Xenopus tropicalis: one gene and its partner. The protein of the gene in region 1 purifies or fractionates together with the protein of each later gene. This does not show direct contact. Links are inferred from orthologs where the notes say so. Each region holds a gene or a part of one and is shown on either strand. Other genes may lie near its edges.

What was found.
Region 2: the proteins of cytochrome b-c1 complex subunit 7 (region 1) and cox6b1 purify together in Homo sapiens (affinity purification with mass spectrometry; 3 studies listed by BioGRID and IntAct, counting the BioPlex papers as one, with this or other methods). This does not show direct contact. The link is inferred for Xenopus tropicalis from reciprocal best matches to the Homo sapiens genes UQCRB and COX6B1.

Annotation. Positions count from the first base shown.
Region 1 is NC_030682.2:130,040,486-130,055,987, forward strand, and holds cytochrome b-c1 complex subunit 7, read left to right. Parts: upstream 1-5,959; 5' UTR 5,960-6,046; coding exon 6,047-6,065; intron 6,066-7,738; coding exon 7,739-7,810; intron 7,811-8,870; coding exon 8,871-9,037; intron 9,038-9,562; coding exon 9,563-9,640; 3' UTR 9,641-9,755; downstream 9,756-15,502. Other genes in the region: mterf3 (transcription termination factor 3, mitochondrial), read left to right, coding at 53-200, 988-1,059, 1,940-2,101, 2,612-2,806. UniProt on the Homo sapiens protein: Component of the ubiquinol-cytochrome c oxidoreductase, a multisubunit transmembrane complex that is part of the mitochondrial electron transport chain which drives oxidative phosphorylation.
Region 2 is NC_030683.2:124,516,780-124,532,276, forward strand, and holds cox6b1 (cytochrome c oxidase subunit 6B1), read left to right. Parts: upstream 1-6,077; 5' UTR 6,078-6,134; intron 6,135-7,165; exon of another isoform or gene 7,166-7,300; intron 7,301-10,556; 5' UTR 10,557-10,561; coding exon 10,562-10,667; intron 10,668-12,014; coding exon 12,015-12,115; intron 12,116-13,298; coding exon 13,299-13,352; 3' UTR 13,353-13,496; downstream 13,497-15,497. UniProt on the Homo sapiens protein: Component of the cytochrome c oxidase, the last enzyme in the mitochondrial electron transport chain which drives oxidative phosphorylation.

The DNA of each region.
Region 1 (15,502 bases):
GAAATGCTGCAATTGCTTTCATTAGAGTGAAGCTCTTCTCGCCACTTTTCAGGGTCTCGTACCTGAGGCTGAAGGAATTCAGTAAGGAAGCAGTCGCTCGAATGGTCGCCAAAGCCCCTTATCTGCTGAACTTCTCAATAGAAAGACTGGATAACCGCTTGGGCTTCTTCCAAAGGGAACTGGGCCTAAGCACAGAAAAGGTAGGAATGTGGGGGGCCTTGGATTTTATTGTGTTATTTGCCATTTTAAGCAAAATCCTCTGACAGTGATGTTGGTGTCCTGGGATATAGCCATGTACTCTGCTCTAGCAGCTCCTGCAAGTGGACAATGAGATTATTGGTGGACAAATCAGTTTCTGGCCATTTAATAACAGTTCTGGTGCATTTCATGAATGACTTACTGCCATGCTGGAATGAGTTACCAGTGCAGTTTCTTATATGATTGCTCAGAATTTTAATGTCCCTTGAACATTGCCCTTAAGTGTATGCACATAAATGCACTTTCTGTTTGTTGATCCAATGTCACAGATTGTGCTTAAAGACAAGTAAATGCTCATTGGCAATATGGTAGGCACCCCCCTAGTGATTATAATTGCTCTCCTCAGCCCCTGGGCTGGTGCTGCTCTTCGCTGAAAACTCCAGTGGCCTGGGGCACTATTGTAGGAAACGTTTTGCTGCCATCTTTCTTTGGGTCCTTTCAATCCTTACTGATGCCCTGGCAGTGCCCATGCCCAACAGAGCAAAATCAGGATTTCAAAACTGAAAGCCAAAGTCTTTGCCGTATTGCGTGTGCTCCCACCACAAAGCAGCAGTAATATATTGCAGAGACTATAAGCAAGATGGCAGCACAGGGATCCCTACAATAGTACTGTATCATTCACTGAAGAAGTGCAAAGGCCCGGGGGCCTGAGCTTTGTGATCATTGCAGTGTGCATATATTCTGTGATAAAAATTAAATTTTTTTCCAAATTATTGTATCTTTCAACAGACAAGGGACCTGATTATACGCCTTCCGAGGTTGCTAACTGGAAGCCTTGAGCCTGTAAGAGAGAATCTGAAGGTAAGCCTGTTTGCTGCTGGAGAAAGACCCCCCCCCCCCCCCCTCCCATTATAGAACATAAGCTCACTAAGGTGCATAGACAGATCTAACGTTCTCAGATATAATTATAAACATACATATTTTTTTTGACCCAAACTTACATGATTCCACATATTGAAACCATTATAGTCTCTCTGTGCTTGCTTGGGCCCCACCCCCGTAAGCTCACAGTGCAATGCAGCCAAACCTTGTTCCATTGTTAAAGTGATGGCTTCTAGTTCATGAAAGACCTTTGCTTTCCATACTGGGTGGTACACAGATTCTCTACAAAGCAGAGGAACATGTCCCAGAATCCATCACTTCACAATGGAACAAGGTGGGGGTGGGTTGGATCACTTTTTGGGACTCTGTGGGAAGCACCAAGACAGACTATTGTGGGTTTTTTTTAATCCGTGGAATAAGGTCTTTCTTTTTTTTTTTTTTTTTTTAACATAAGACCAGCTGAATGAGCTTGTGTCAAGAAAAGGAGGGGGGAGGTGTACAACAAATAATAGGTGTACAACAAAATAATATTGCTTTAATTTTACTTTTAGTAGTGCGCCCCCTTCTGTTTATTACCTATTTTCAACCTATGTATAAATACCAGTTATCTGTGTGTCATTCTAGTAATGCTATATCACTTTCATTAATATTAATAATATATGTATTTACAAAACACCAACATATTTTGCAGCATTGTATAATAAATGGGTGTATGCGTTAAACATTCCAGACAATATAGGAAAACAATTAATACAAGAGGTCAAAAGGGCCCTGCCCTAAACAGGTTCTGGTTCTCGTTTTGCATGGTTTCATCATAACAATACATACTTATTTTTTATTTTGGGTTTTTTTTTTTTAGGTATGTGAAATTGAACTGGGATTCAAAAAAAATGAGATCCAGCACATTGCAATAAAAGTCCCTAAAATATTAACAGCGAACAAGAAGAAATTAATGGAAACCTTTGATTATGTGCATAATATAATGGGAATCCCCCATCATCTTATTGTTAAATTCCCACAGGTATTGTGAGCTTTTCTTGTTAATATATATTATCCAGCTCATAGGTAACACCTCGCCTTACCTAGTATTTCAGGGAAGCCTCCAAAACCTCCATGTGGACCTTATTCAAGAAACCTTAATTTTGACTTCAGAATGTATTAATTAAACAATTTTACAATTGATTCAAAGTAATTTGTAAATGTAACATGTGTCATGTGTCTGTTCCTTTCCTACCCTGCTGGTACTGAGTTTTAAAAAAGTGTAGCAGAAGACAACCCCAGCCAAGACTCCCTATTCCCACAGTGCCTTTCACTAATCTGCTAATGATGTCACTTCTGCCACGTTGTTTCAATAGTCAGAACCAGCAGTGAGTGTTGAGAATAGCAAGGTAAAGAAGATTATATTTACAGATAACTTCAAAACCTGTATATTGAAAAGTTGCTTAGACACTTCGCTTAGAGAAACGAGAGAGGTGAGAACATGGATCGTGCAGGTATATCCAGTAACCAATTTGTTTCATTTTCCCTGCAGGTATTTAATACAAAGTTGTTAAAAATGAAGGAGAGACATCTGTTCCTGGGATTTTTGGGCAGAGCTGTATATGATCCCACAAAGCCAAACTATGTCTCCTTAGACAAACTAACATCAACTCCCAATGAGATTTTCTGTGTGGAAGTTGCCAAGGCGTCGGTGCAAGATTACGAGCGGTTCCTGAAAACTCTGTGAATAACGAGCATCTGAGAGCTGTGTTTTCCATGCTGCAGTTAGGCGCCTGTATAGAATATCTTTGTGTGCATGGAGAATATTTATGTATATATTTACAATGTAATCTGTTTCTACGCATAAAAGAAAATGTTGGTCATAGGCAGTTCTGTAGCATTGTTACATATGAAGATAATATTTCTAAAGCTCCTTATGTATTTGTACATTAACGGAACAATATATAAGATTCTTTGCTTTGTATGAATAAATAATGTCCTCCTGGATAGATGTGTGGTTGTATGTATCAAGCAAGAACCTCGATACAGCTCCATACTGGCACTTAGTGTATAATTATGCAATGCCCATACTATAGCCAGCTCAGTATTATCTTTATAACCACCATTTTATCTGACTTCTAAGCCACGGAGTAAAAGTACATTTTGGGGCAGATTTATCAAAATGTGAGTTTAGAGATTAATACATAAAAACTCACCAATGTTCTATTCATTCCTATGGGATTTTTAGAAGTGTGGGTGAAAATTAGAACTCAACATTTCATAAATAGGCTTCTGAAAATCCCATAGGAATGAATAGAACATTGGGGAGTTTTTATGTATTAATCTCTAAACGCACATTTTAATAAATCTGCCCCTTTATGTCTGGGACGTTCCTTTGCTGAGGGTAGGTGCTTAGCAGAGGTTATCGCAGGGGGTGCTTTTAGCCAGCTGAGAATCAACAACAATCCTCTGCTGTCTGCTCCCTTTGACATGAATGGGAAATGCCAGTATAGGTGCTTTTTAGACTGAAAACTCTGGCATGTCTCTAGGACAGTGCTGTCCAACTGGCGGCCCGCGACCCCCCTCTGTGTGGCCCCCCACCTGTCTGGCTGCTTTGATGGCTTACCTTTGAGTAAGCTTTAAATGGTATCAGTACTGTGATTAACTGCCCCCCCCTGCATGGTTCTCACCTCCAGATTCAGGCTGTAATCAGGCTGTATTGTTTAAATATGTAATCCCCTGTGTTGTTCACACCTTTTAATCTCTGCATTGTTCACCCCCTGCAGTGTTCACACCTCAGGCTCAGGCTGTAATCACCCCCCATTGTTCCCCTGTTCACACCTCAGGAGCAGTAGAAACCCACAAATAATCCCTGCACACTACAAAAGGAACATATACTGAGGTGGTACTGCAATTAAAAAGTTTTTTAATATATAGTTATTGTGCAGACTGTAGGAGCAGTGCCAGCATTGTGTCACTGTAGGCTGCCTGTGTGTGCCATACACACAGGCATCATAGGGCAAGCAGAGTATGGCACACACAGGCAGCGTAGGGAAGGCAGAGTATGGCACACACAGGCCAAGTATGGCACAAACCAGCCAAGAATGGCAAACACAGTGAAAGTATGGCACATGCAGGCAGGGTAGGGAAGGCAGAGTATGGTACACACAGGCAGGGTAGGGCAGGCAGAGTATGGCACACACAGGCCAAGTATGGCACAAACCAGCCAAGTATGGCACACAGGCAGGGTAGGAAAGGCAGAGTATGGCACACACAGGCAGGGTAGGGAAGGCAGAGTATGGCACACACAGGCAGGGTAGGGCAGGCAGAGTATGGCAGGTTTTTGCTGTACTACAACCATTAATACGGGTATGGTCATGTAATAACATGGGTGTGGTTTCAAGTGGGTGCGGTTTCAAAAAGGGGAGTAGTCAAAACTGGCTTCCATTATCGGCCCTCCACCACGTAGGTCGGAAAAATTCCGGCCCTCAGTACAACAGAAGTTGGACAGCACTGCTCTAGGAGATACTAAAATGGAATAACAAGTTAATACATTTGTTAATAGCTCTAATTTTAGTGTAAATTGGATTTTAAATCCAGGAAAATGTGATGTAATGTCTCCAAAACAGGAAGTTCGGCTTCCCCTTACCTATTTAGTTTGCAGGTAGCACCTTTTACAGGCAAGTGTTAATATTTAGTTTGCATATTGATGGGTAAGGGGAAATTAAAAAAAAAAAAAAAAAAAAAAAAGGACTCAGTGGTGGGTGCTGGAAATTGTGTATCAAGAACCAACAAAAGGCCCCATATGGAACGTGTAAGTGCCACCTAGTTACCCTGCAATCCCTGCTGTTCCAGAAGCTATTCTCCACATTCTTGTTGTCATTTGTGCTCATCCACACATTTCCTACCTGATACTCTCACTCTGCTAAGAGAAACTATGCTGCTCAGATAAATCTTTAGTATGCACTAAACAGGCACAGCAGCCTCCTGTTGGTTGGCACATGGGGCAAGTTCTGTTTTACTGCAAAAGAACCTTCTGGTGCCTATTCTTTCACTCACTTTACACACAGCCTAAGTAAGTGGTAGTTGCACTACACCCCTTGGATATTTCCACATAGTGAAAGCCCATCTTGAATGTTTAGAGTCCTATGTACCCCCATGCTCTGAAGCCTATCTAGCTGGTCTGGTCTGTAAATACAGCCAAGTAGGGGTTACACATCACTCTGGGAGGAACCATAAGCCAGACTGGTACATACTAACACAACTCTGGTCATGCCCATTCCCACACCTTGTGTCTCAACCCTTTCTCCTTGTAGATTGTAAGCTCTTTTGGGCAGGGCTCTCTTCACCTCTTGTATCGGTTATTGATTGCTTTATATGTTACTCTGTATGTCCAATGTATGTAACCCACTTATTGTACAGCGCTGCGGAATATGTTGGCGCTTTATAAATAAATGTTAATAATAACAATAATAATACATTTATAAGTTAGTAAATGACATAGGCATTGGATATCCAATCTGCTCCTCTCAGCTGAACGTCAGCTCTCAGTTTAGCCAGCTGTCAGAGGGTTGATGAAGGGCTGCAGTGAGTCTATCTCTATGGGGGCGGGAAGCTAGTAAAAATGGCAAAGTTTTGATACTTTCTCTCATTTGGATTAACTATATAGACATTAGAAGTGGTAAAGCTGACATAGTTACAGGGAGGGATTCTATAAATCAGGGACGTCCAACAACTAGAGGCACTAGGTAGGACCTACTTGATACGTGCACCGAAATATAGTAACACTAAAAAGCAATTCGTGTCCCCTCTACAAAAAGCGACGAAAACTATAAGAGTTGCCATAACTACGAAAACATCCACTTTCATAAAGTTCAATTGACAAAGACGTGCCCTTCCCTTACTTCCTGTTACACTTCCGCCCGTACTTCAAGCTGCGCGTCGTTTGTACGCGACTCTACGTCAGACGTCATTCTCACTGGGAAAGATGGCTGCTCGGGCACCAGGTAAGGTCGAGGCAGCTTCTCCTTCACTGGCCCCTCTGGGGTCTGGGGTTACTTGTTCCCTATTATTTGGGGCCCTGTGAGGCAGAACCCTATTTATTGTGTGGGGGTGACATGGAGAGAGGAAATGCCGCCTGTGTCCTATCTGTGACCCCGTCCCCTAGCCCCTGAGCCGCCTGTATGGCCGGGTCCTGCCGGGCTGGGCTGCTCCTCAGAGGTCATGGCTTGCTGAGAGACTCCCACACTGCCTAGCAGATAAAGTGACAGCTGTGCTGCCTGCCTGGGAGTTATCCCTAATGTGTTTAATAACAGCTCCCAGGGTTTGCCCCATGTGTTACTGTAAGTGGGGCTCAGGGAAAGCTGTGGGAGATCTGGGACTTTGGGGTATATTTCTCATGCTGTGTAAAAAGTGGAGTAAAACATTACCGGTGATGTTGCTCATAGCAGCCAATCAGATGTTTTGCTTTGATTTTCTAACTGTTGAAATCTAATTGCTGATTGGTTGCCCTGGGAAACATCACAGGTAATGCTTTACTCCACTTCTTACACAGCATGATAAATATACCCCTTTGTGTGAACGTTACATCTCATGGTAATAATTGCCCTTCTGATGAACTTGGTGGGTCACATTCACTCAAACTGACATTTATATTGCAATTTTGTCCACATCTGATAGGTGGCGCTGTTGTTTCAAGTTCATTAACACAGTTAAAACTGCTATTGTCTTGAGAACTAGTACTTGGGATGATCGTCTCTGTGGCTAAAAAATACATAGACATTAGAGCAGGGTAGAGCTGGGCAGTATGACCAAAAATTTATATCACGGTGTTTTTCAAAATTATATCGGTGTCACGGTATTTGACGGTATTTTTTTTTTCCATGCATGATTAGGTGTTAACCCCATTTCCTAATAAATTAGAGAATAATTACTGCAGTATTGAAAATCAGAGTCAGGCAAGCGAAGGATCAGCAAGAGAAAGTCGTAAGGTAAATTAGGCAGGCTTAGTTTCTCAGGCAAGGCCGCAGACAACATAGCACAGGAGGAGGCGTTTGATAGCTTTAAATACTCCCCGCGCATGCGCAGAACCCGTCAGCGCGTCATGGATGTGCACGCTTTGACGCACGCGCACCTGGACAACGGGACACCGCACGGGTGAGTACCCCGACACCCCGGTATTGCGGTATCTGAAAAATGAATATAGTTTTAAAAAAAAAAAAACACCGGTATTCGGTATTAAACAGTATATCGCCCAGCCCTAGAGCAGGGGTGGGCAAGCTACGGCCCGCGGCCACATCCGGTCCATTGGTCTTTTTAATTCGACTCGCCGAGGATTGGTGTGTCTCACTTTGTCCAGACTCATCACGCGAGACTTGGCGTCAAGACTGCATGTAAGCGCTGGCCCGGCACGTCTGTCAAATTTTAAAAGTCAATGTGGCCCCTGAGCCTAAAAGTTTGCCCACCCCTGCATTAGTGGCTGTGTACATATTGTAGCAAAACCAGTTATTTCTGGAACTTTCCTTCATTTTGCTTTTCCCATGTAAAGAATAATGGGTTGTTGGTGATTTGCTTTGCTTGTAAAATGGATCATAATTCTGTTTCCATGTTATTTTGATTATGAATACAACAGAACATAATCTTTCCATTTTGTTGATACATTTACTTCCTTATGTTGCAGTTGCCGCATCAGGCCGACTCATTGACGGTTTGAGGAAATGGTACTATAATGTTGCCGGATTCAACAAACTCGGTAGGTTAATGGATACGGGTACACCAGCAATGATAAATTCGCTTCCCAAAAAAGGAGCGGGTCACCTAACTATTTATTTGCAATAGGCTTAGTCCAACTGAAATCGAAAGCTGCAGATAAAAAGAGACAGTCACCCTGGCAGCAAGAAAGTGTATTCACGGGGAAGCTAGATTGTTATTCTTGCATTTTTGTGACCTTTTCAGGGTATCGCAAAACTGGGGAACTGCTGACAATTTAAAGGCAATTTGGGGCTAAAAAGGATTATTACTTTAAAGGAGTGGTTTACTTTTGAATTAACATTTAGTATGAACATTTTGAGGCAGTTGGTCTTCATTTTTTTTTTAATTTGTTATGGTTTTTGAATTAAGCTTTTTGTTCAGCAGCTCTCCTGTTTGGAATTTTATCAGCTACTTGGTTTATAGGGTCCATTATACCCTAGCAACCAGGCATTGGCTTGAATAGGAGAGAACCTGGATAAAAAGAGAAGTAAGAGAAAGTAATAATAACATTAAAAGCAATAATATTTTTGGGAGACCACCATTTAAAAGCTGGAAAGAGACAGAATATTTCTTATTATTATTACATAGAAGCTATATAATTCCAAAACTATAAAAAATATTGGCCAATTAAAAAGATGAGTAGAATAGTCTATTCTATAACATAATAAAAGTGAACTTTTTGGTGAGCTACCCCTATTCTATTAATGGAACTCCCAAAATTTCCTCTATAATCCTTGTCTGTTACAAATGAGTATTGGGTGCATCCTCGTGATCCTTCCCCAAAGCCCAGTAGAATGTTGGTAACGAATCGCAGCTCTCCCCTTGTACAGAGATGTGCACACTGCAGTTCCTTGTCAGCCTGCCAAGCTGCTAGCTAAGCTCTATGGTCTGTATGAGGCCAGCCAATCCACACCCTTAGTGCCACCAGTATGCAGCTTGTCAGAGCCTCAGCTAAAGTGCTGCCTCTCAATCTGTCCCATTCTGTTTGGGGCGCCCCAAGTGTTGCCAGTAGGCAGAATACAGGCGCTGTGGTGACCATGTGTTTTTATTTTCTTTGGCAGGTTTAATGAGAGATGACACAATTTATGAAGATGATGACGTGAAAGAGGCAGTAAGGAGGCTGCCACCTAAAGTTTATGATGACAGAATCTTTCGAATCAAGAGGGCATTGGACCTGAACATTAGACAGCAGCACCTCCCAAAGCAACAGTGGATTAAATATGAAGAGGTATTTAGCATAATTATCTTTAATGTAAATGAGGAAACTACAGGTCCAGTTCAATGTGCAAAGTGCTTGTGACATGGGTGATGTTTTGCACCAGAGGTAATAGTACATTCCATATTACTTAAAATATCCCACATAATGGTACATGTGCTATTGCTGAGCCACAGTCAAATGTAGAGAGACTTGGAGAGCAACACAAGCACCATAAAAGTTCATGGAGGAGCCAAATAAGGGCTGTGATTGGCTATTAGGCAGCCTCTATGCACCCTATCGACTTACAGGGGCTTTATTTGGTAGGAAATCTTGTTTTTATTCAACCAAAACTTGCCCCAGGTCAGGAATTCAAAAATAACTCCCTGGTTTGGGGGCACTGAGAGCAACATCCAAGGGGTTGGTGAGCAACATGTTGTTGTAAAGACTCTGTCCGTGCTGGACATTTATTGCAAATGGAATATTTTTTCCAAAGCAATTATATTTATCTAAATGAAATAATTTAATGCCATATTTTTTTTTTTTTTTTTTTTGTAGGATGTTCACTATCTGGAACCATACCTCAAGGAAGTGATTCGTGAAAGAAAAGAAAAACAAGACTGGATGAAGAAATGATGTGCAAATGCTGTTTTCTGGGAAAGTTTATGTAAATGTCTTGTCTATTGAAACAGAGCCTGTCCCTTTGTACTTGTGGGGCTGGCCAAGAAATAAACATTCGGAATGAACATCATCTGTCTAATCACGTCATTGAGCAAATTGCACTCATACAGCCAACTGGCTGGCAACTTTTGGAAGCAGTTTTATTTTTGTTCAGGAGTTTGTCGTCTCCTGGTTCACGTATGTTTGGGCACATACAAATATTGGGTGTTCTATACATATGGGCCATCTGAATGATCAGAGATGGAAAGTGGTGTCCAGTATTCCTATCCTGTCTATGTGATTGGTCACTCTGCAAATCTGCACCTAGGCAGTAGCCCATAGCAACTGATCATTCATTTTCTTTGTTCATCCAACTGCAGTTAGAGTAAGGAAAGCAAAAATTTGGTTGCCATGGGTTGCTGGACTAGTGCAAAGTTGTGTGGTTTTAGTAACTGAGCCAGTCTGATTACCATAACTTTTTCGGTAGACCCTAAGGGACTAATGCTTTACCTTTCTAATCATCTCAAGGGGGAATTCCCTGTCTTTCCCATACTCCTTTGCTTTGTTGTGTCACTAGAACAGCACAAATGTGTGCCCTAAAAAACAAATTTGCCATTTGTGTAAATGGAAAGTGGTGGAGGAAACCTTAACAGTTCAAAACTCACTCACAGAACCATGAAGAACACAGTGTTATGTGTGCAACTTGGCAATTTTATTTCAAAATTTCTGATTCTTGGCCTGAATGGAGCTCTGGGAAGAGGGATTGCTGTAAGCTTCCAAAGTCATGCAATTAGCAAGTTCCCTTTCTGGTATTTTTAGATAATTAAATTCCATTCTTTGTTTGAAATGAAGAAGGAAATATTACAGCACTGTGTAATAGTAAATATACACATTGTAATTATTCTTTGTTTCTTAGTTATGATTCAGCGGTATAGGTGGGGCCTGTGCGCACTGAGGTTGAACGTGGGACATCCAGCACTCCGGACTCATGAAAACTGCTAAAATCCAAAGTTTATTCCTTCATGTTTAAAACAAATAAACACCTGACGCGTTTCGTGCCCTTTAGGGCACTTAATCATAGGAGATTATGATTAAGTGCCCTAAAGGGCACGAAACGCGTCAGGCGTTTATTTGTTTTAAACATGAAGGAATAAACTTTGGATTTTAGCAGTTTTCATGAGTCCGGAGTGCTGGATGTCCCACGTTCAACCTTGGAGAATTTTCCCTTTCAGCTGCGGGTTCGGGGCCTTGAGCACCCGGACCACCATCGGCTTTTGGTGAGCTACTTGGATTTCTTTGTCCGTATATTATTGAATGATCTTTTTTGAACCTTGCGTCGGGCTCGGGGTTTGAACACCCGGGCCTAGCCCGATACTGGGTACATATATATAACCTTTACTGTTTTGATGTATATTAGGGAACAAATTTTGATTCAATCATTGACTATATTCCAATTATTTTTTGAGTCAGTTAAGATAACTATTTTACTGAATTTATTTCATGAAATCCATTTGAGGTTTGTTTATTTCACATTCCTCTCCCTCTTCCCTGTGCACACTTACCCTACTGTTGCAGGTTTTCGCTTTTATGGTGAAAAAACAAATAAATTCCAGACAATCCGCTGAAGATTGCACCTTGAACCAACTTTCCCACAGGATAAACAGATGAATATTGTACGAGTGGCCATATGCTGTAAGGCAGTGATCCCCAACCAGTGGCTCAGGTACAACATTTTGCTCCCCAACCCCTTGGATGTTGCTCTCAGGGGCCTCACAGCAGGTGCTTATTTTTGAATTTCTGTTTAGTAGGCAAGTTTTGGTTGCATAAAACCCAGTGTAATTGCCAAGCAGAGCCTTCTATAGGCTTCCAGTCAACAAAGGGGCCATCAAATAGCTCTCATTGGCACCTCCTTTTTTCATGCTTGTGTTGCTCTCCAACACTTTTTCCATTTGAATGTGGCTCACGGGTATAAAAGGTTGAGGATACCTGTTGTAAGGCCACATTAAAGGGGTTGTTAACCTGCGCTTATCTGCAGGCTGGGAATCTGCCCATGTGGCATTAGCTTTAGTGAGTGGGTAAACAGGCAAAACTGCCCCATGTGCCATTAGCCTCAATTAGTTTGTACAGTAAAGAAGATGTACACAGAGTATGCACTTGTAAATAATAGTATATTAACTTCTATGAACAATAACTTCAGATCATAAATACATTATACTGTGAGGGGCAGAAGCAGCACAAATACATTAAATACAGGGAGAAGCAGTGGGATCTTCAGCCCCAAATACATTAAATACAGTGAGAGGCGATGATTTCTGACACCCCAGACCCACTTACCCTTCCAAAAAGCAGGTTTCCTGGGGGCTGGAGAAATTTTCAGTATTCGAGATCAAAACAAATTCAGAAATAATTTGCATTGCTAAATGTGCTCACATGCCCCACCTAGTGGTAGTCAGAATAGCACCCAGGCTGGAGAACCCGTGTTTCGATATTATGCGACTTGGGTCATATGGACAGTACATTGAGTAGGAGAAACAATAGGTTAGCTGAAAGCAGTTCTAATGTGTAGCGCTGGCTCCTTCTGAAAGCTCAGACTCAGGCACAATGCACTGACATGGCGCCTACACACCAATATTACAGCTAAAAAATAATTTTTTTGGTTCAAGAAATTTTAAATGGCAGAGGGAATTATTTGCAATGGATACTGGTCTACCAAGCCACTATAGCGTAGCATATCCCAAGCACCACATCATATCCAGTACTGGTCTGAGTGTCAGTGAAAGGTTGGAGGCCTGATAAGCATGCCTTTAGCCTGTCCATTTATCCTGGCATTAGATACCATCCTCCTTAGATGCCATCTTTTCTCAGATTCCAAATTTACAAAACACCCATTTTTATGCAATTTCTAATTATCTCTCTATGACAACAGCAATGCCTCTCTAATATGTATCATTACCACCAAATATGAATTATTTGCTACAGGTGTATAAATATGAGTAAATGTTTAAGTTGCCTCTGTAGATAAAATACACTTTTTGGCCAAAGGTATATTTCTATCTAGTCTGACAGTTGGGCAAATGCCTGGATAACTCTACTTGCCTGAATGCACTGTGCTGACTGTGATGTTTGCTTGAGGAGGAGCTGTTTCTATGGTTTGGGGAGACATTCTTGGCAATTCTGTGCTTCCTACTTTTGTTTGGGGAAGGTCTTTCCCTGTCTCAGCAGAATAATGCCCCCATGCAGTAGGAGAGGTACTTATAGAATGGATTTGCTGAGATGGGAATGGAATACTATGACTGGCCCAACTGAACCTCTGTGGGATGAACAGGAACCCTGACTGTGAGTCGGGCCTGATCCCCAACGTCAGTGCCCAACCTAACTAATACTCTTGTGGCTGAATAGAAACAGCTCCCACCAATCATGTTCCTACATCTAGTCGGAACCTTCCCAGAAGTGTAGGGACTGTTACAGCTCCACACTTATACCCCTGGTTTGGGAATGTTTAAGAGGCAGGTATCCAGGTACATTTTGCTTTATGGTGTTCATAGATATACAGGTATGGGAACCCTTATCCGGAAACCCGTTATCCAGAAAGTTCCAAATTACGGAAAGGCCATCTCCCATAGACTCCATTATAAGCAAATAATTCAATTTTTTAAAAATGATTCCCTTTTCTCTGTAATAATAAAACAGTACCTGTACTTGACCCCAACTAAGATATAATTACCCCTTATTGGGGGCAGAACAGCCCTATTGGGTTTATTTAATGGTTAAATCATTCCCTTTTCTCTGTAATAATAAAACAGTACCTGTACTTGATCCCAACTAAGATGTAATTACCCCTTATTGGGGGCAGAACAGTCCTATTGGGTTTATTTAATGGTTAAATCATTCCCTTTTCTCTGTAATAATAAAACAGTACCTGTACTTGATCCCAACTAAGATATAATTACCCCTTATTGGGGGCAGAACAGCCCTATTGGGTTTATTTAATGGTTAAATGATTCCCTTTTCTCTGTAATAATAAAACAGTACCTGTACTTGATCCCAACTAAGATATAATTACCCCTTATTGGAGGCAGAACAGCCCTATTGGGTTTATTTAATGGTTAAATGATTCCCTTTTCTCTGTAATAATAAAACAGTACCTGTACTTGATCCCAACTAAGATATAATTACCCCTTATTGGGGGCAGAACAGCCCTATTGGGTTTATTTAATATTTAAATGATTTTTAGCAGACTGAATATGGAGATCCAAATTGCAGAAACATCCCTTATCCGGAAAACCACAGGTCCCAAGCATTCTGGAACAGGTCCCATACCTGTATAATATTCTGGCTCTGTGTGAGATGCACCTCAAACCTGCTAATACACACCACAGTGTGAGAATCCTTATGGTAGCCATTAGCGGCAAGCCTGGACCAGTAATCTGTGGGTTCTGGCAAATGCCAGAGGGGCTGCTGTAAGATGCCATAGACAGTCACTAGACCTGATTTGTGGTTTAATACAGTGTCAAAATGTCCACAACCACCTAACAACCTCTAATGTTGTCCCTGGGAACCATGTGAAAGCGTCGGTATGGTCAGTTGGATAAAAATTTGTTGGTTTTATTCCTGTTTGCTATGGACAATGTCACAATAAAATGGGTGTTAATCTGGTGCAACGTGATTGGCTACAGTCCCAAAGCACTGAAACAAATATACTGACTCTTGTTTAATAACTATAGATCACCTGCGTTTAATCGTCCGCTATGGACACGTTACCTCATGATCTGTTTACTAAGGACTGGGTGATTAAATAAGATGTTTGATGGCTTCTCATGTGGTTCCTTGGGGCGCAATAAAGCAGAAGAGTGTTGGCTTCGGTGTGTTTGTATGGGCTGAGTTTCCAAGGAAAACCCATTCTTCCTTGCAGGCTAAAGCCATCGGGCGCCTTCTCATCCTCACAGGCCCTTGGGTGCAGTCAGAGGCTCCACAACTGAGGTCCTGCTCAGATTTAATCCCTGTTTAAACTCAGGACCCCACGACAAAAGCAGGTGCTTCCCACAAAGGTCAATAAAGAACCTGTTGATTCTCTCCGTGCTTTCCCTATGGTTTCCCTATGGCTGTGTAATCCTTTCTAATGGATGGGTCTTAGTGGCCCACTCTGGAGTCATCTGCTTCTCATCCGTCTTCTCTGCACATCTCCACCTACAATAGCAGAGGATGAGGCCGGCCGCTCATACACCGTGTCTTGTAAGGAATGATGTGCTCATTCTGTGGAGGCGGCCAGGAACCCCGTTACATATACCTCCCCTGAGAGCCAGAAAGATTCCTTAGGACACAAACAGAAATGTGTTAATCGTGCAGCATGGCGCACAGGCGCTGACAGATGCACCTCATTTTCCACTTTATATAATGGAACAAGTCCTGCTAGAGCCGACAGGAAGCACTAACAATTTCAGGCAGATCTTCCCCTAAACGTAGCTTTGTTCCCCAAATCCCCCAATGCGAGGGAACGTTGTACAATGAAATCCTTGCAGTTGCAGCCAGAAGGCATTGAGGCCAAGGGACTCCGGATTTATTCCACTTATTACTCAGCAAAAGTTCCCTTTCTGTTTGCTTATCCCCCGCAGGTGTGAAACAAAACCCACGATTATGGTGGGAATAGTTTGTTTATTCACTGTCATTGGCTTTGGTTGGTGGGAGTTGTAGTCGTAGTTCAGAAACACTGGAAATAATTGGGATTTTAAAGGGGGATCTACACAGAGAATCTGCTTTTCTTCATAATAAAAAAACAACCTTCTGATGCACATTCATTTAAACATTTATAGTGGTGCGTAAATGTAATTGCAACCAGAA
Region 2 (15,497 bases), on another chromosome or scaffold:
GGAAGGGACTGGGGCTGTGGGATAGCAGGTATAGTAGGGAGAGATGGTGCCTATAGTAGCAGTGGGGGGATAATAGCCTCTGGGAAGGGACTGGGGCTGTGGGATAGCAGGTATAGTAGGGAGAGATGGTGCCTATAGTAGCAGGGGGGGGGGGATAATAGCCTCTGGGAAGGGACTGGGGCTGTGGGATAGCAGGTATAGTAGGGAGAGATGGTGCCTATAGTAGCAGTGGGGGGATAATAGCCTCTGGGAAGGGACTGGGGCTGTGGGATAGCAGGTATAGTAGGGAGAGATGGTGCCTATAGTAGCAGTGGGATAATAGCCTCTGGGAAGGGACTGTGGCTGTGGGATAGCAGGTATAGTAGGGAGAGATGGTGCCTATAGTAGCAGGGGGGGGATAATAGCCTCTGGGAAGGGACTGGGGCTGTGGGATAGCTGGTATAGTAGGGAGAGATGGTGCCTATAGTAGCAGGGGGGGGATAATAGCCTCTGGGAAGGGACTGGGGCTGTGGGATAGCTGGTATAGTAGGGAGAGATGGTGCCTATAGTAGCAATGGGGGGATAATAGAGTGGGGCTGGGGTGGGCGGGGCCCAGGGGGCCCTGAAATTTTTGCCGTACGGTGGCAGCCCTACAGGAAGATGATCACATTTTTCAGTGAGCCCTGGCTACCCCCGTGTAACACTGTACAGCGCTGCGGAATATGTTGGCGCTTTATAAATAAATGTTAATAAAAAGAATAATAATAATACAGGGTATTTCTGTGATTCTTCATTTAGGAAGTGCTTCCTATTAAAGATGGAGAAGAGCTTGTCAGAGGTAAAATGGTGGATAGAAAGTCTGGAGTGATTAAGGAGAATGGTTATAAATTGCAATACTTGATAGCTCTTTCTATAAAATAACATTATTGTGGGCAGGTCCCATTAAACTCAGGGATTCCCGGTGTCAGTGGCCCTGTGCCCTGGGGTACAGACTGAATTCACAGTTGGGGGGGTTGTTGCCCTTGGCTGACAGATCTATAAAACTGGCAGGTGGAACTAAACTGACAGACATGTTCATACATGGAAGTTTGTCTTTCCAATAGAAAGGGTCCTGTTTCCCACCAGAAACATGGCTGACCCCCCGAGTAACCTGATTCATTCCCTGTGCTTTCGGCGGCACTCGGCTTCGGATTACATTGGCGTTGACGGATTTCTTCGCAGTCAGGCCCCCCTTTAAACTTAAAATACACCAGCTCGGGAGGACTGTCCCCCCTGATGGGGCCCTGTCTTCCCGTTTGACAGATCCACTGCTGGGTACTTTATACTGGGTCATTTGAGTTATAATTCTTGGCTGAATTGTACAAAGCTTCAATAAACTACTGTACAGCGCTGCGTACATAAGTAGCGCTTTATAAATAAAAATATACATACATACATAAACTAACCAAGCAGATTGTTCTATAAGTATCTGGGACTGCAAGCAGTTAAATCCGTTTTATATGGGTGCAAGTGCATCAGACATGCCCAAGAGAGTCCAGTGCTGCCCCCTAGCTTTTATGAAGACTCACAGCAGAGATCTGCCACAGCAGCTTTTGTACATAACGCCACCAAGGTTTCCAATTCCTATCCTGAAGTGACATCTGGTGGTAGAATCCAACATATCCAAGAAAAAGAACTGGTAAAAAACCTGGGGAAGGAGAAAATAGAAACAACCCTGGGCAAACACTTTTTTGAATGTGGTCATCAGATTTCACAACTTAGATGGCAAATATTGGAACAAATGAAAGTAAGGGAGGGACAGGGTACAAAGAGAATTTTATTACAAAATGAATGTTATTGGATTTGGGCCCTAAAAACAAAACATCCTAGAGGTCTAAATTAGGATTTTACTATGTCTTGCTTTTTATGATATTGTGGGGGTATTAGGGTTATTGTTAATTATGTATTTTTTTCTGCAGATATAAAATATAAATTGTGGTTGGTTCAGGGTTGGTTTGTTTTGCAACAAATGTTCCCTTTAGACCGTAGCGATGCTTCTATTACTGGTATCATTTTATAAGGTTTATTTATTTTTTGCTAATATTACTATGTAACTATAACGAGTTCTTTTGGTGTTAATCTTCTTGAGTTATTTTGGTAGGTTCTGTATATATGGGCTTATTCTTCAGATGTTTATATAAAACATTTATTGGAATTATGTTTACTTCATGGACTTTTTGTACACGGACCATTGCCTTCTCTTATTATAAGAATTGCCACTATGATTTTTGTCTCTGTATTTTTAAATGTTAAATATGCTAATTGTACAATTATGTATGTTGATTAATTGTGGGTTTATTTAATCACTTTCATTGCACTGGTTTGTATGCCTGCCGAAGGGGTACACCCCCCGAAATGTTGCTGCTATACTTTGATGAAACACGCAGGGGCTAAGCCCCACTTGCATCACACTTATTGTGCCGGTCAGTTTTCTGCTAGAATCTATCAATGAACACTAATGGAGAACTCCACCCAAACACAAACTGTGGAGAAGTTGTTACAATGTGTAACATCAATGTTTTAGCCCCTCCTCCCCTGTCAGGAGTTTAAATGATGCAAAAAGCGAACTGTCTTGCAGCTGGATTTCAGTATATAAAAATGGTATTTATTTCTACTTTTTGAAGGAACAGATTACATTACATTAACATTTATTTATAAAGCGCCAACATATCCCGCAGCGCTGTACAATAAGTGGGTTACATACATTGGGCATACAGAGTAACATATAAAGCAATCAATAACCGATACAGGAGGGGAAGAGAGCCCTGCCCAAAAGAGCTTACACTCTACAAGGAGACATACAGAGTAACATATAAAGCAATCAATAACCGATACAAGAGGGGAAGAGAGCCCTGCCCAAAAGAGCTTACACTCTACATTATTATTATTATTAACATTTATTTATAAAGCGCCAACATATCCCGCAGCGCTGTACAATAAGTGGGTTACATACATTGGGCATACAGAGTAACATATAAAGCAACCAATAACCGATACAAGAGGTGAAGAGAGCCCTGCCCAAAAGAGCTTACACTCTACATTATTATTATTATTAACATTTATTTATAAAGCGCCAACATATCCCGCAGCGCTGTACAATAAGTGGGTTACATACATTGGGCATACAGAGTAACATATAAAGAAATCAATAACCGATATAAGAGGTGAAGAGGGCCCTGCCCAAAAGAGCTTACACTCTACATTATTATTATTATTAACATTTATTTATAAAGCGCCAACATACCCCACAGCGCTGTACAATAAGTGGGTTCCATACATTGGACATACAGAGTAACATATAAAGCAATCAGTAACCGATACAAGAGGTGAAGAGGGCCCTGCCCAAAAGAGCTTACATGTTATTATGCTTTATGTAGCGCCAGCGTCGGACTGGGCCGCCGGGATACCAGGAAAAAACCCGGTGGGCCCCGGCGGCCCAGATCCAATCCGGTAAGTTTCTTTTAGGAGCGGTCGGGGGAGGAGGTCGGAGGGTGTTGGGGGTGGGGGCCTTAGCGGGGGGGTATGTGTAAAGGCGGAGGGGATCATTGGGGGGTGTAGGGGCCCCTGAGGCAGAAGCCCCGGTGGGCCCTGCACCCCCCAGTCCGACCCTGTGTAGCCCTAACCTGTTACACAGCGCTTTACAGTGACTGTTTATAATTTATATCAGCCTCTGTCCCCAAAGAGCTTACAGTCTACTAGTCATATTGACACAGGCTGGGGTTCATTTTTTATCAGTAGCCAACTAACGTGCCAGGTAGACTGGTGCTCAGGTCAGATCTGTACTCAGGAACATACCGTCGGCAGCAGAGCTAACCAATGAGCCATATTTTACAGGTGGTAAAGCAACAGACAGGTAAATGAAGATGTTCAGCAGAAAAGGCTGCAAGTCTGAGGCAGGTCTTAAAATGGAGGCGGGGCTTAATTACTCAGGTAATGACTGGAGCAGCAACACTGCCAAGAGATTTGACAATTTCTTTAGACTCTCATTTGATATGGTACCAACCAGAGTAAAGCTGATGTAATCACACTACTCAAAACAGTTTCAGATATGTAATTATCAGCCGGTAAGTCTGACATATGTAGTGGGCAAGTTGTTTGAAGGTTTGCTAAGGGATCACATTCAACATCTTTCCCGATGACACAAAAGAATCGCTTGAGATTAAAAGTAAGATGCTTTCATCAAGTGGTTGTAGATATATATGGCAGGTTCCAGAAAGGGTTGGCCAATTTGTATTAAGATATAGTGAAATTAACTTAGAATAAACTTGATCCAGTGATTGGTCCATTTATTCTTTTGGAGCAAGGAATATTTTTCTCTGTCTGACAGGGCCTGGAATTGGCTTTAGACTGGGTTTTCTCACCTTCTTCTGCAAATGCCCAACAGTATTGACACCTTCGCACTTTTTTCAACTATCCTACAAATTAAGTTGGCCGTACAATTGTATTGTGACTGGTAAAATGGTTGCCCCTTGGCCTACACCATATGAGAGGGCTCAAACCTGAAAGAAATGGTCTCATCCGTGAAATTTGGTGTAAGGTGGTTGGTTTTGGGGTAAATCCGGTGTCCCCAATTTACCCTAAGCTTACACAATTACATTCCCTGATTTGGCCCATTATGTGATTGGCTAGTGCAAAATAAGGTTGAAGTTCAGCAAAGCAGGTTTCCACAATTCCTCGTTTCACTATACAGAGCACAGGACTTTGTTATTCCATTCAGACATATCCTTTTAGATATAACGAAAACTGATCGACAAAACTATTGTAACCCTAGACATATTTGATAGCACTGAAATGAAATCAAGAACTTCCAATAGCCATGAATGAGCTCCTCCCATATCCGAGGGACGCCTTGTACAACTACATCTTTCATACTCTTACAGATTTAGATTCTACAACTTTGAGACTCAAATAAATGTACCAGTAGTCGCCTGCCCTCAGCCTGCCTCCTCCCAATCCCACAATCCCCTGCTGCACACGTGATGTCAATAAGGAAAGGTACATCACAGTGCCTCCTCCCAATCCCACAATCCCCTGCTGCACACGTGATGTCAATAAGGAAAGGTACATCACAGTGCCTCATCCCAATCCCACAATCCCCTGCTGCACACGTGTTGTCAATAAGGAAAGGTACATCACAGTGCCTCCTCCCAATCCCACAATCCCCTGCTGCACACGTGTTGTCAATAAGGAAAGGTACATCACAGTGCCTCATCCCAATCCCACAATCCCCTGCTGCACACATGTTGTCAATAAGGAAAGGTACATCCCAGTGCCTCATCCCAATCCCACAATCCCCTGCTGCACACGTGATGTCAATAAGGAAAGGTACATCCCAGTGCCTCATCCCAATCCCACAATCCCCTGCTGCACACGTGATGTCAATAAGGAAAGGTACATCACAGTGCCTCATCCCAATCCCACAATCCCCTGCTGCACACGTGATGTCAATAAGGAAAGGTACATCACAGTGCCTCATCCCAATCCCACAATCCCCTGCTGCACATGTTGTCAATAAGGAAAGGTACATCACAGTACAATGCATTGTGGGTTATGTAGTTCCTGTAAAATATGGAGAAGTTGTTACAACTTTCAACATCAGTGTTTTAGTCCCTCCTCCCCTGCCAGGATTTCAAATGATGCAGAAAGAGAAGAACTGTTTTGCAGCTGGATTTCATTTAATAAAAATGCCTTTTATTCATAGTTTTTCAAAGAACAGATTACAGTGCTATGGGGTGTCTGTGTTGTGTGAAACTCTGTAACAAGTTTGGGTACAGAAGCCGCAGTTCCCCTATGAAATGGAGATAACTAGTCAACAGCTTCCGCCCCAAGGCTACGTGCCCGCTTCTCTCACACACAATGGCGCCAACAGCCGACGGTTCAACCAATAAGAGCCTGAGCTCAAACCAACCCTTAGTTAGCCCCGCCAGTCTGGCTTCCCATTCGCTACTGCGCTTGACTCCTTAGCCCCGCCCATACGTGACCTCATCACGCTGGACGCGCAGGTACTTACTGCCCTTCCTGCTGGTGCCCTTAGTGTATGCCTGTGACGTACATCCGGCCTCATAGCCGCATTTCCGTAGCTGGGTAGAAGTGACATTGAGGAAGACGAACTCGAGGTGAGAGTGTGGCGGCCCCGGGCTCCGGGCTGGGGAGGCCGAGAGGGAAAGGGCAGTGGTGGGAGTAACATAGGACGGGATAAGTGTCGGTGTGAGGGGGCTGGGCTGGGGCGCAGCTTGTCTGAACGGATAAACGAGGTGCTTGGAAGGCGCGGTGATCCTGGGAGAAACCATTCCTTGGTGGGGGGGGGGCGATATGGTATATATATCCCACAACCTTCCTGCTAGGCTTCCCTTGCTGTCCAATTAGGTTACTGGTAGGGGCCCTCGGCCTAGTTATCGCCCATTGGTATTACAGGGGCTGCTGGGTACTGTAGTGAGGGTTGGCCCTACGTGCTGTCACTGTGCTACACCCACACTGCAGCCTTCTTGCATTCCAATTAAAGGGCAACACACCCTGCAACTCTAAGATATATTAATGCATTCGCAATGGAAAGCAGTATCTGGCTTTTTATACTCTCTGCACTGCTGGTTCTGACTCCCAGCTTCTGCTGATGATGAGACCTGTAACTGATGTCTGCTACATTGTTTCAGGAGTCAGAACCAGAGAACAGAAATGGGGTGGAAAAAAAAAATACTGACTAATGCCCAAGTTTAATATGTGTAATGCCCGGCAGCTGTGCCTCTTACATGGGACCCTCGGCCTCTGGGTAATTCTTCCGAGGGTTTGACTGGTTATTCCTTTGAAAAAAGTAGCAGGGTCAAAGTTTATATGGTGGTGTGGGTGGAATTGCCTATAAAGGTGGCAGTTGGTTCAGGTGACAGGTAGGTAGGTGCACGTTACTTGTGGCTATAGAACCAAAAGGGGGAATTAAATAAAGTTCAAATGGGAATTGTCTTCTAGAAAAGTTAGTTGTAAGTCAGACTTCCCCTTTATTGCCCTTACTGATAATCCCACTATGGGAAATGACAGTGGGTGTTTGTCACCTTGTAACTAGGTGACCTGTATGACCAGGCGTGAAACATACGTGTGCAGTTCATCCCCGTGTCTGGGTTTATAAGGGTTTGTTAAACTGTCACCTTTCCCACAGAAGCTTCTCGTCTTTTGTCGACTGGGAGGAAATTTATTCTGCAGTTTATTAGAACGGAGCCGCCCTGAGAAGTTTCGTCTGATTTAATAGACTGGGGAGGGAATTTGGGCTTCAAGGCTCTATCATTTATACCAAGTAGGGCTTTTTTACTTATGGTCCTTCCGCTGTTGTTCAACTGCAACTTGTAGACTTGTCTGATACTAATATAGCTCTTATCCCACTGCCAGACATCCTTCCCATAGGCTATAGGCACCATCTCTCCCTACTATACCTGCTATCCCACAGCCCCAGTCCCTTCCCAGAGGCTATTATCCCCCACTGCTACTATAGGCACCATCTCTCCCTACTATACCTGCTATCCCACAGCCCCAGTCCCTTCCCAGAGGCTATTATCCCCCACTGCTACTATAGGCACCATCTCTCCCTACTATACCTGCTATCCCACAGCCCCAGTCCCTTCCCAGAGGCTATTATCCCCCCACTGCTACTATAGGCACCATCTCTCCCTACTATACCTGCTATCCCACAGCCCCAGTCCCTTCCCAGAGGCTATTATCCCCCCACTGCTACTATAGGCACCATCTCTCCCTACTATACCTGCTATCCCACAGCCCCAGTCCCTTCCCAGAGGCTATTATCCCCCACTGCTACTATAGGCACCATCTCTCCCTACTATACCTGCTATCCCACAGCCCCAGTCCCTTCCCAGAGGCTATTATCCCCCCATTGCTACTATAGGCACCATCTCTCCCTACTATACCTGCTATCCCACAGCCCCAGTCCCTTCCCAGAGGCTATTATCCCCCCACTGCTACTATAGGCACCATCTCTCCCTACTATACCTGCTATCCCACAGCCCCAGTCCCTTCCCAGAGGCTATTATCCCCCCGCTGCTACTATAGGCACCATCTCTCCCTACTATACCTGCTATCCCACAGCCCCAGTCCCTTCCCAGAGGTTATTATCCCCCCACTGCTACTATAGGCACCATCTCTCCCTACTATACCTGCTGTCCCACAGCCACAGTCCCTTCCCAGAGGCTATTATCCCCCCACTGCTACTATAGGCACCATCTCTCCCTACTATACCTGCTATCCCACAGCCCCAGTCCCTTCCCAGAGGCTATTATCCCCCCACTGCTACTATAGGCACCATCTCTCCCTACTATACCTGCTATCCCACAGCCCCAGTCCCTTCTCAGAGGCTATTATCCCCCCACTGCTACTATAGGCATCATCTCTCCCTACTATACCTGCTATCCCACAGCCCCAGTCCCTTCTCAGAGGCTATTATCCCCCCACTGCTACTATAGGCACCGTCTCTCCCTACTATACCTGCTATCCCACAGCCCCAGTCCCTTTCCAGAGGCTATTATCCCCCCACTGCTACTATAGGCACCATCTCTCCCTACTATACCTGCTATCCCACAGCCCCAGTCCCTTCCAGAGGCTATTATCCCCCCACTGCTACTATAGGCATCATCTCTCCCTACTATACCTGCTATCCCACAGCCCCAGTCCCTTCCAGAGGCTATTATCCCCCCACTGCTACTATAGGCATCATCTCTCCCTACTATACCTGCTATCCCACAGCCCCAGTCCCTTCTCAGAGGCTATTATCCCCCCACTGCTACTATAGGCACCATCTGTCCCTACTATACCTGCTATCCCACAGCCCCAAGCCCTTCTCAGAGGCTATTATCCCCCCACTGCTACTATAGGCACCATCTGTCCCTACTATACCTGCTATCCCACAGCCCCAGTCCCTTCCCAGAGGCTATTATCCCCCCACTGCTACTATAGGCACCATCTCTCCCTACTATACCTGCTATCCCACAGCCCCAGTCCCCTTCCCAGAGGCTATTATCCCCCCACTGCTACTATAGGCACCATCTCTCCCTACTATACCTGCTATCCCACAGCCCCAGTCCCCTTCCCAGAGGCTATTATCCCCCCACTGCTACTATAGGCACCATCTCTCCCTACTATACCTGCTATCCCACAGCCCCAGTCCCCTTCCCAGAGGCTATTATCCCACTGCTACTATAGGCACCATCTCTCCCTACTATACCTGCTATCCCACAGCCCCAGTCCCTTCCCAGAGGCTATTATCCCACTGCTACTATAGGTACCATCTCTCCCTACTATACCTGCTAACCCACAGCCCCAGTCCCTTCCCAGAGGCTATTATCCCACTGCTACTATAGGTACCATCTCTCCCTACTATACCTGCTATCCCACAGCCCCAGTCCCTTCCCAGAGGCTATTATCCCCCCCCTGCTACTATAGGCACCATCTCTCCCTACTATACCTGCTATCCCACAGCCCCAGTCCCTTCCCAGAGGCTATTATCCCCCCCACTGCTACTATAGGCATCATCTCTCCCTACTATACCTGCTATCCCACAGCCCCAGTCCCCTTCCCAGAGGCTATTATCCCACTGCTACTATAGGCACCATCTCTCCCTACTATACCTGCTATCCCACAGCCCCAGTCCCTTCCCAGAGGCTATTATACCCCCACTGCTACTATAGGCATCATCTCTCCCTACTATACCTGCTATCCCACAGCCCCAGTCCCTTCCAGAGGCTATTATCCCACTGCTACTATAGGCACCATCTCTCCCTACTATACCTGCTATCCCACAGCCCCAGTCCCTTCCCAGAGGCTATTATCCCCCACTGCTACTATAGGCACCATCTCTCCCTACTATGCCTGCTATCCCACAGCCCCAGTCCCTTCCCAGAGGCTATTATACCCCCACTGCTACTATAGGCACCATCTCTCCCTACTATACCTGCTATCCCACAGCCCCAGTCCCTTCCCAGAGGCTATTATACCCCCACTGCTACTATAGGCACCATCTCTCCCTACTATACCTGCTATCCCACAGCCCCAGTCCCTTCCCAGAGGCTATTATCCCCCCACTGCTACTATAGGCACCATCTCTCCCTACTATACCTGCTATCCCACAGCCCCAGTCCCTTCCCAGAGGCTATTATACCCCCACTGCTACTATAGGCACCATCTCTCCCTACTATACCTGCTATCCCACAGCCCCAGTCCCTTCCCAGAGGCTATTATCCCCCCACTGCTACTATAGGCACCATCTCTCCCTACTATACCTGCTATCCCACAGCCCCAGTCCCTTCCCAGAGGCTATTATCCTCCCACTGCTACTATAGGCACCATCTCTCCCTACTCCTTTCATTATGCAAAACATTTGTTTTTGGGCGGAGTTCCCCTTGAAGTTGGCTGCAGATTGCTATACTGACAGATAATGAAATGAGACTTTGGTTCTGAAGCCTGATTCGCTGGTTATCCCAGTTATTATCTGACTATGAAAAGGCTTATTACCATGTTCTGACTCCTGCTCTGTTCTCTTTTTGCAGGCAAAATGGAAGATGAAATCCGCACTAAGATTGAAAACTTCAGAACCGCTCCTTTCGATGCTCGATTCCCCAATCAGAATCAGACCAAACACTGCTACACCAATTACCTTGGTAAGGCGTGTAGCTCCTCCCCTTCTACATTGCGGCGTTCATGCTTCGCTCTTTGTGACTGAGCTTCAGTGCGGAGATTCTAACACACAAATTACGTACAAATGCGTCGCATCTGAAACGCTCCATTGTGGGTTAAAGGAGATTGAAGCTCAAAAGATACATCTATGTCACTGTATTTTTTTCAGACTAATGGTGGGCATACACTGTAAGATCCACTCATTTGGTGAGGTTGGTAAGCAAGCGGATCTTCTCCTGATTTGCCCACCTATGGGTAGGCGATATTGGGCTAATTTGATTGATTGACCCTAGGGCCAAACGATTGAATTAAAAAGGCTGGCATAGGTGCCGGCGGTTTGGGGGCTTCATCTCCGATCAGACGGGAAAAAATCAAACCCACCCGATCAAGATCTGGGCAGTTTCAGGCCAGATGTCGGACGGGCAGTTCCATCGCTGGTGCCCATACACGGGCAGATACGCTGCCAAATTGGACCGATATGACCAGCTACAATCGTACCTTAAAGAAACAGTAACACATAAAAAATGTAATACCTTATTCGCCACAAAACATCTCTAATAATAGACCTAGCCTTTCCCCCTTGCTTTTCTTTAAACGCTTCATGTTGAATTTTAGTTAGACTGCTGTAATAATATTATATAACATTACTATTATATAATAACAGACCTAACCTTTCCCCCCTTGCCTTTCTTTAAATGCTTCTTGTAGAATTTTAGTTACAGACTGCTCCATAGCAGCACGGCGAAAAGGCAACGGGTGCTTGACTCCTTGTGTGCCCTGACCCGGAAGGACCTTCGGCACTTAAGCTTCTTATCAGCACCTTTAATTTAAATTTATGATTGCAACATTACCCCCCCCAAACTGTCTGAAGAAATAGAAACATAGATTTAAGCTACATGTGCCTTTTCCCCGTGCTGCTATGGAGCAGTCTGTAACTAAAAATTCTACATAAGCATTTAAACAAGGCAAGGGGGGAAAGGCTAGGTCTGTTAGTATATAATAGACCTATTACATAACATATTATTAAAGCCTCATTACATCATATTCACATTGATTTTACTTCTCGCAAAGCCCAGTACAATCGCCCGTTGTCCTGCAGTAAAACCACCCCTACCCTGTGCCAATAAAGTCTCCTCCGTTTCCCCATAGCAGTGTAGTGGCCTGACAATCCCATGCTGCATAGCTGCTTTAACGGGCAGGTTTGACAAATGAATCTCCCTGTGCCGTTTCATTTCCAGATGAAGGAATATTAAAGAAGCACGGTTTTCCCTTGAGATCCTGCTGTTTGGATCACTCATGTTAATGTGGGCCTGTCACCCTTTGTTTTTCAGATTATCATCGCTGCGTGAAGGCTAAGACCGCCAAAGGACAAGATTCATTTGTCTGCGACTGGTACAAGCGTGTTTATAGGGCAATGTGCCCCCTGAAATGGGTATGCCACTTTGTATTCATTCATTACTTGATGTTTCCTGCCTGCACCCTTTTAAGATTTATTTTTTTAGATTACTGGCCACATGGGGTGTAAAGCAGGGGCGGGCCAATCTGACCGGGCGCCATAGGCAACCTGGTCGTCTACCGCCAGCTCCTACCTGGCGCCCCCCAATCATTACGCCATAGGCAGCTGCCTCTCCTGCCTACCCCTAGTTTCCGGCCCTGGCGTCAAGCTGTCTTTGGGCGCATTATTTATAAAGCACCAACATATTCCACAGCTCTGTACAATTAGTGGGTTTCATACATTGGACATACAGAGTAACATATAAAGCAATCAATAACCGATATAGGAGGTGAAGAGAGCCCTGCCCAAAAGAACTTACAATCTACAACCCTTCAGAAGGGAAACAGAGAAGGGTTCTGATGTTGCTCTGGTCAGGGAAGAGACAGGAAAGGGCATCTGAGGCTTCTGATCTCTATCCTGAGCTGAGCAACAAAACTTCTGTTTTCCATCTGGATTGTAAGCTCTATGGGGCAGGGACCTCCATCCTCTTGTCTCTTTGATTCTTAACTTATTGCAACGGTACCTTGTATTTATTGTTATACTTTGTATTTATCTATTGTAATAACCGCCTGTAGTATTCTCTTCTACTGTACAGCGCTGGGTACATAAGTAGCACTTTATAAATAAAGACATACATACATCTCTCTGACTGTACAGTTACCAAAAGTGACCAGCAGGTGGAGCTGTTTTTTTACAAAAGTGATTATATTGGCAGCTAATAAAAACTTAAATACTAGTGCAAAAGTGCTTAGAAAAGCATCCTTTTTTTGTGCTTTACTTGTGCTTAAAGCACAATTCAATAACTACCATGCATTATTTAAAACTGCAAAAATAGTTGTTTGTACAGCCAGAATATAATATGAAATGCATTTGCTCCATGCAGTTGAGATGTTTGCTGCAGACTGCATTGGTTTCCATGCCAGCATGTATTCACTGTGGGCTGAATGGACAGATGGTGTGTAATTGGAGCCATAATCGTTATAGGCTCTGTTCCTTCATGCTGCCAGAAAGTGAAGTGTGCCTGCTGCTACGCTCTATTTCCTCCGTCGCTACATTGGCCGACACCAGAGGTGGGGCTGCCGTAATAACTGTGTTCATTTCTATTGTGTTTTTTTTCTAGGTGGAAAAATGGGACGAGCAGAGAGAGTGCGGCACGTTCCCAGGCAAAATCTAAGCTATAGACCGGCTTCCGCCGCTCGGTACAGGAGTATCGCCAATGCTTGAACGTGTATCAGTCCAATGATTACTGTTTGTATCTGTCACTGAGTGAAGAGCAAGTGGTAGAATTCCTTTATATGTTAATAAAACCTTCTGACACTTATGTCTCTTATCTGTTCTCTTGGTGCTTGTGTGTAAGCGACACCACCAAGCCAACACGGGGTTAATAGTGTGTATTTTAGGGCCTGATGTCTCGGGAAGGGCGCTTTGTTTCCATGAAATATTGTATGTCGTTGGTGTGGAGCACCAGAAATGGCTTCTTTGGGTGCTGGATGAACAGTTGGGTGTATTATCAGGCATCTGTAGGCCAGAAAATGCAGTGAATTCAACAATACAAAGTGCCTCCCCCCCCCCCAGGCGCTTCTACATTAGGAATGTTTAGGGTTCGCCCAAACCCAGCTTTCTCCATCAGACTTCCAGCCCAACCTTGTTTTTTTTACTTGATCCCCATTCTACTTGTTGGTAGGGCCACAGCTCAGGTGATCAGGGAGCTAATTATTACTTAGTTGTATAAGGGCCCCATTATTTCTGTGATGGTGGCTCTGTGTCCCCTACAAAGCATATAAAAAAAAAATGTGTAAATCTACCCAAGTATTTCCTTCCACAACTGGCAATAATTGTGAATTACTTTTGATTAGTTTGGCAAATATTTGTGCCTGCTCCCCTAAACCCCCCACCACTGTGCTTACAGCTGGAGCCAGGCCCCTCTGACTCCCCTCTGTCCTACTCGGCATCACCCAACACTGTTAAGCACCCTCCCTGGCCTTTAAATCCAACAGCCATTCTTAGTGTCCTACAGCCAGTGAGTGGGGTATTTAAGTGTTTCTCACCCCCTTGTTCCTTTATGTGGGGTCACTTGTGCATTTGTGTTGATATCCTATGATGTTACAACATGTGTGTGAGTTACAGTTCAGAAACCTCTGGCAGGGGTGTCCCTGCTGTCTGTTGCTGGGGGCTGCCAGGGTGCAAGAGACCAAATAGCTAACAACCCTAAGAAATAATTCAAAATTCTTTTCCATTGTGTTTGTTAAGCAAAATAACCTTTCGCTTACACTATATATGTAACAAATCTTGTTTCCTTCAGTCCTGGAATTACACAGTCACAGCAAGCAGGCAGGCGCCATTTTGTGGATCTGGTTATTAAGGCAAGTTTTGTATCACCCCAAAATATTGTGTATGTGCCAGTATGGGGGGGAAGATGCCCATGCATTGGTTACACAATTAGATGGTTAGGAGGGAGGGGGAAAGTGAGAGCTGAATTGAAATTCAAAGTACTTGTCTGCCTATGGCATAGAGGTGGGGCAGGCAATATTGATTGACAGCTGGGATTTTTAAATGGGTTTGGATGTGTTAATAGAGAAATGAATTTGGGTTTCTTGTTTAAATTGAAAAGTTATTTTATTATACAGCTTTTTATGTCTGGGTGACAGTTTAACTTTAAGGCCCTGCTTGCAGTTTTGTAATTTGACCACAAGATGTCACCCTTGGCTCACAGAATGGTGTACAGCTGAAGATTCTATAGGGGAATCACTAATGGAAATCTGTCAAATGAATTCTGACTAAACCACCTCTCTAAATTCTTGCTTTTAAACCTAAAGATTGTTTTATAGAACATTTTACCCCACCATTTAAAAATGCTTTTTCTAGTTACCCCCCTTTCAGTAGCTGTATAGGGGGCATATTGGCAGCCTATTGGCAAGGTACAGCCCCACTCTGTCTCATTATAGCACAGCAATAGGTGCACAAAGCCTTATTTATTTATATCACTTTATATATAAATATAGCTTATTGTTAACGTAACATGTTTTATGTCATATTTGTGTTAATTTGATTCGTTTTGCTTAATGAATGAGGCAATATTAGCATTTTGAGTGAATATATTAATTATATAAATCTTTAAAGGGAAAGTAAAGCCTCACTGACACTTGTGCAGACTTACCTGTGCCCCAAAGCAGGCCCAGAACTACAGAGATGCTCACAGTGTTGGCTGCCACTTTTAGCTGTGCTGCTTGTGTTCGTGCAAACAGCTAATGTTCCTAGTTGAGCTCCGTTGTGGGAATTGAAGTCACGTGACCAAAGATGGAGGTGTGGCTCTGCATTC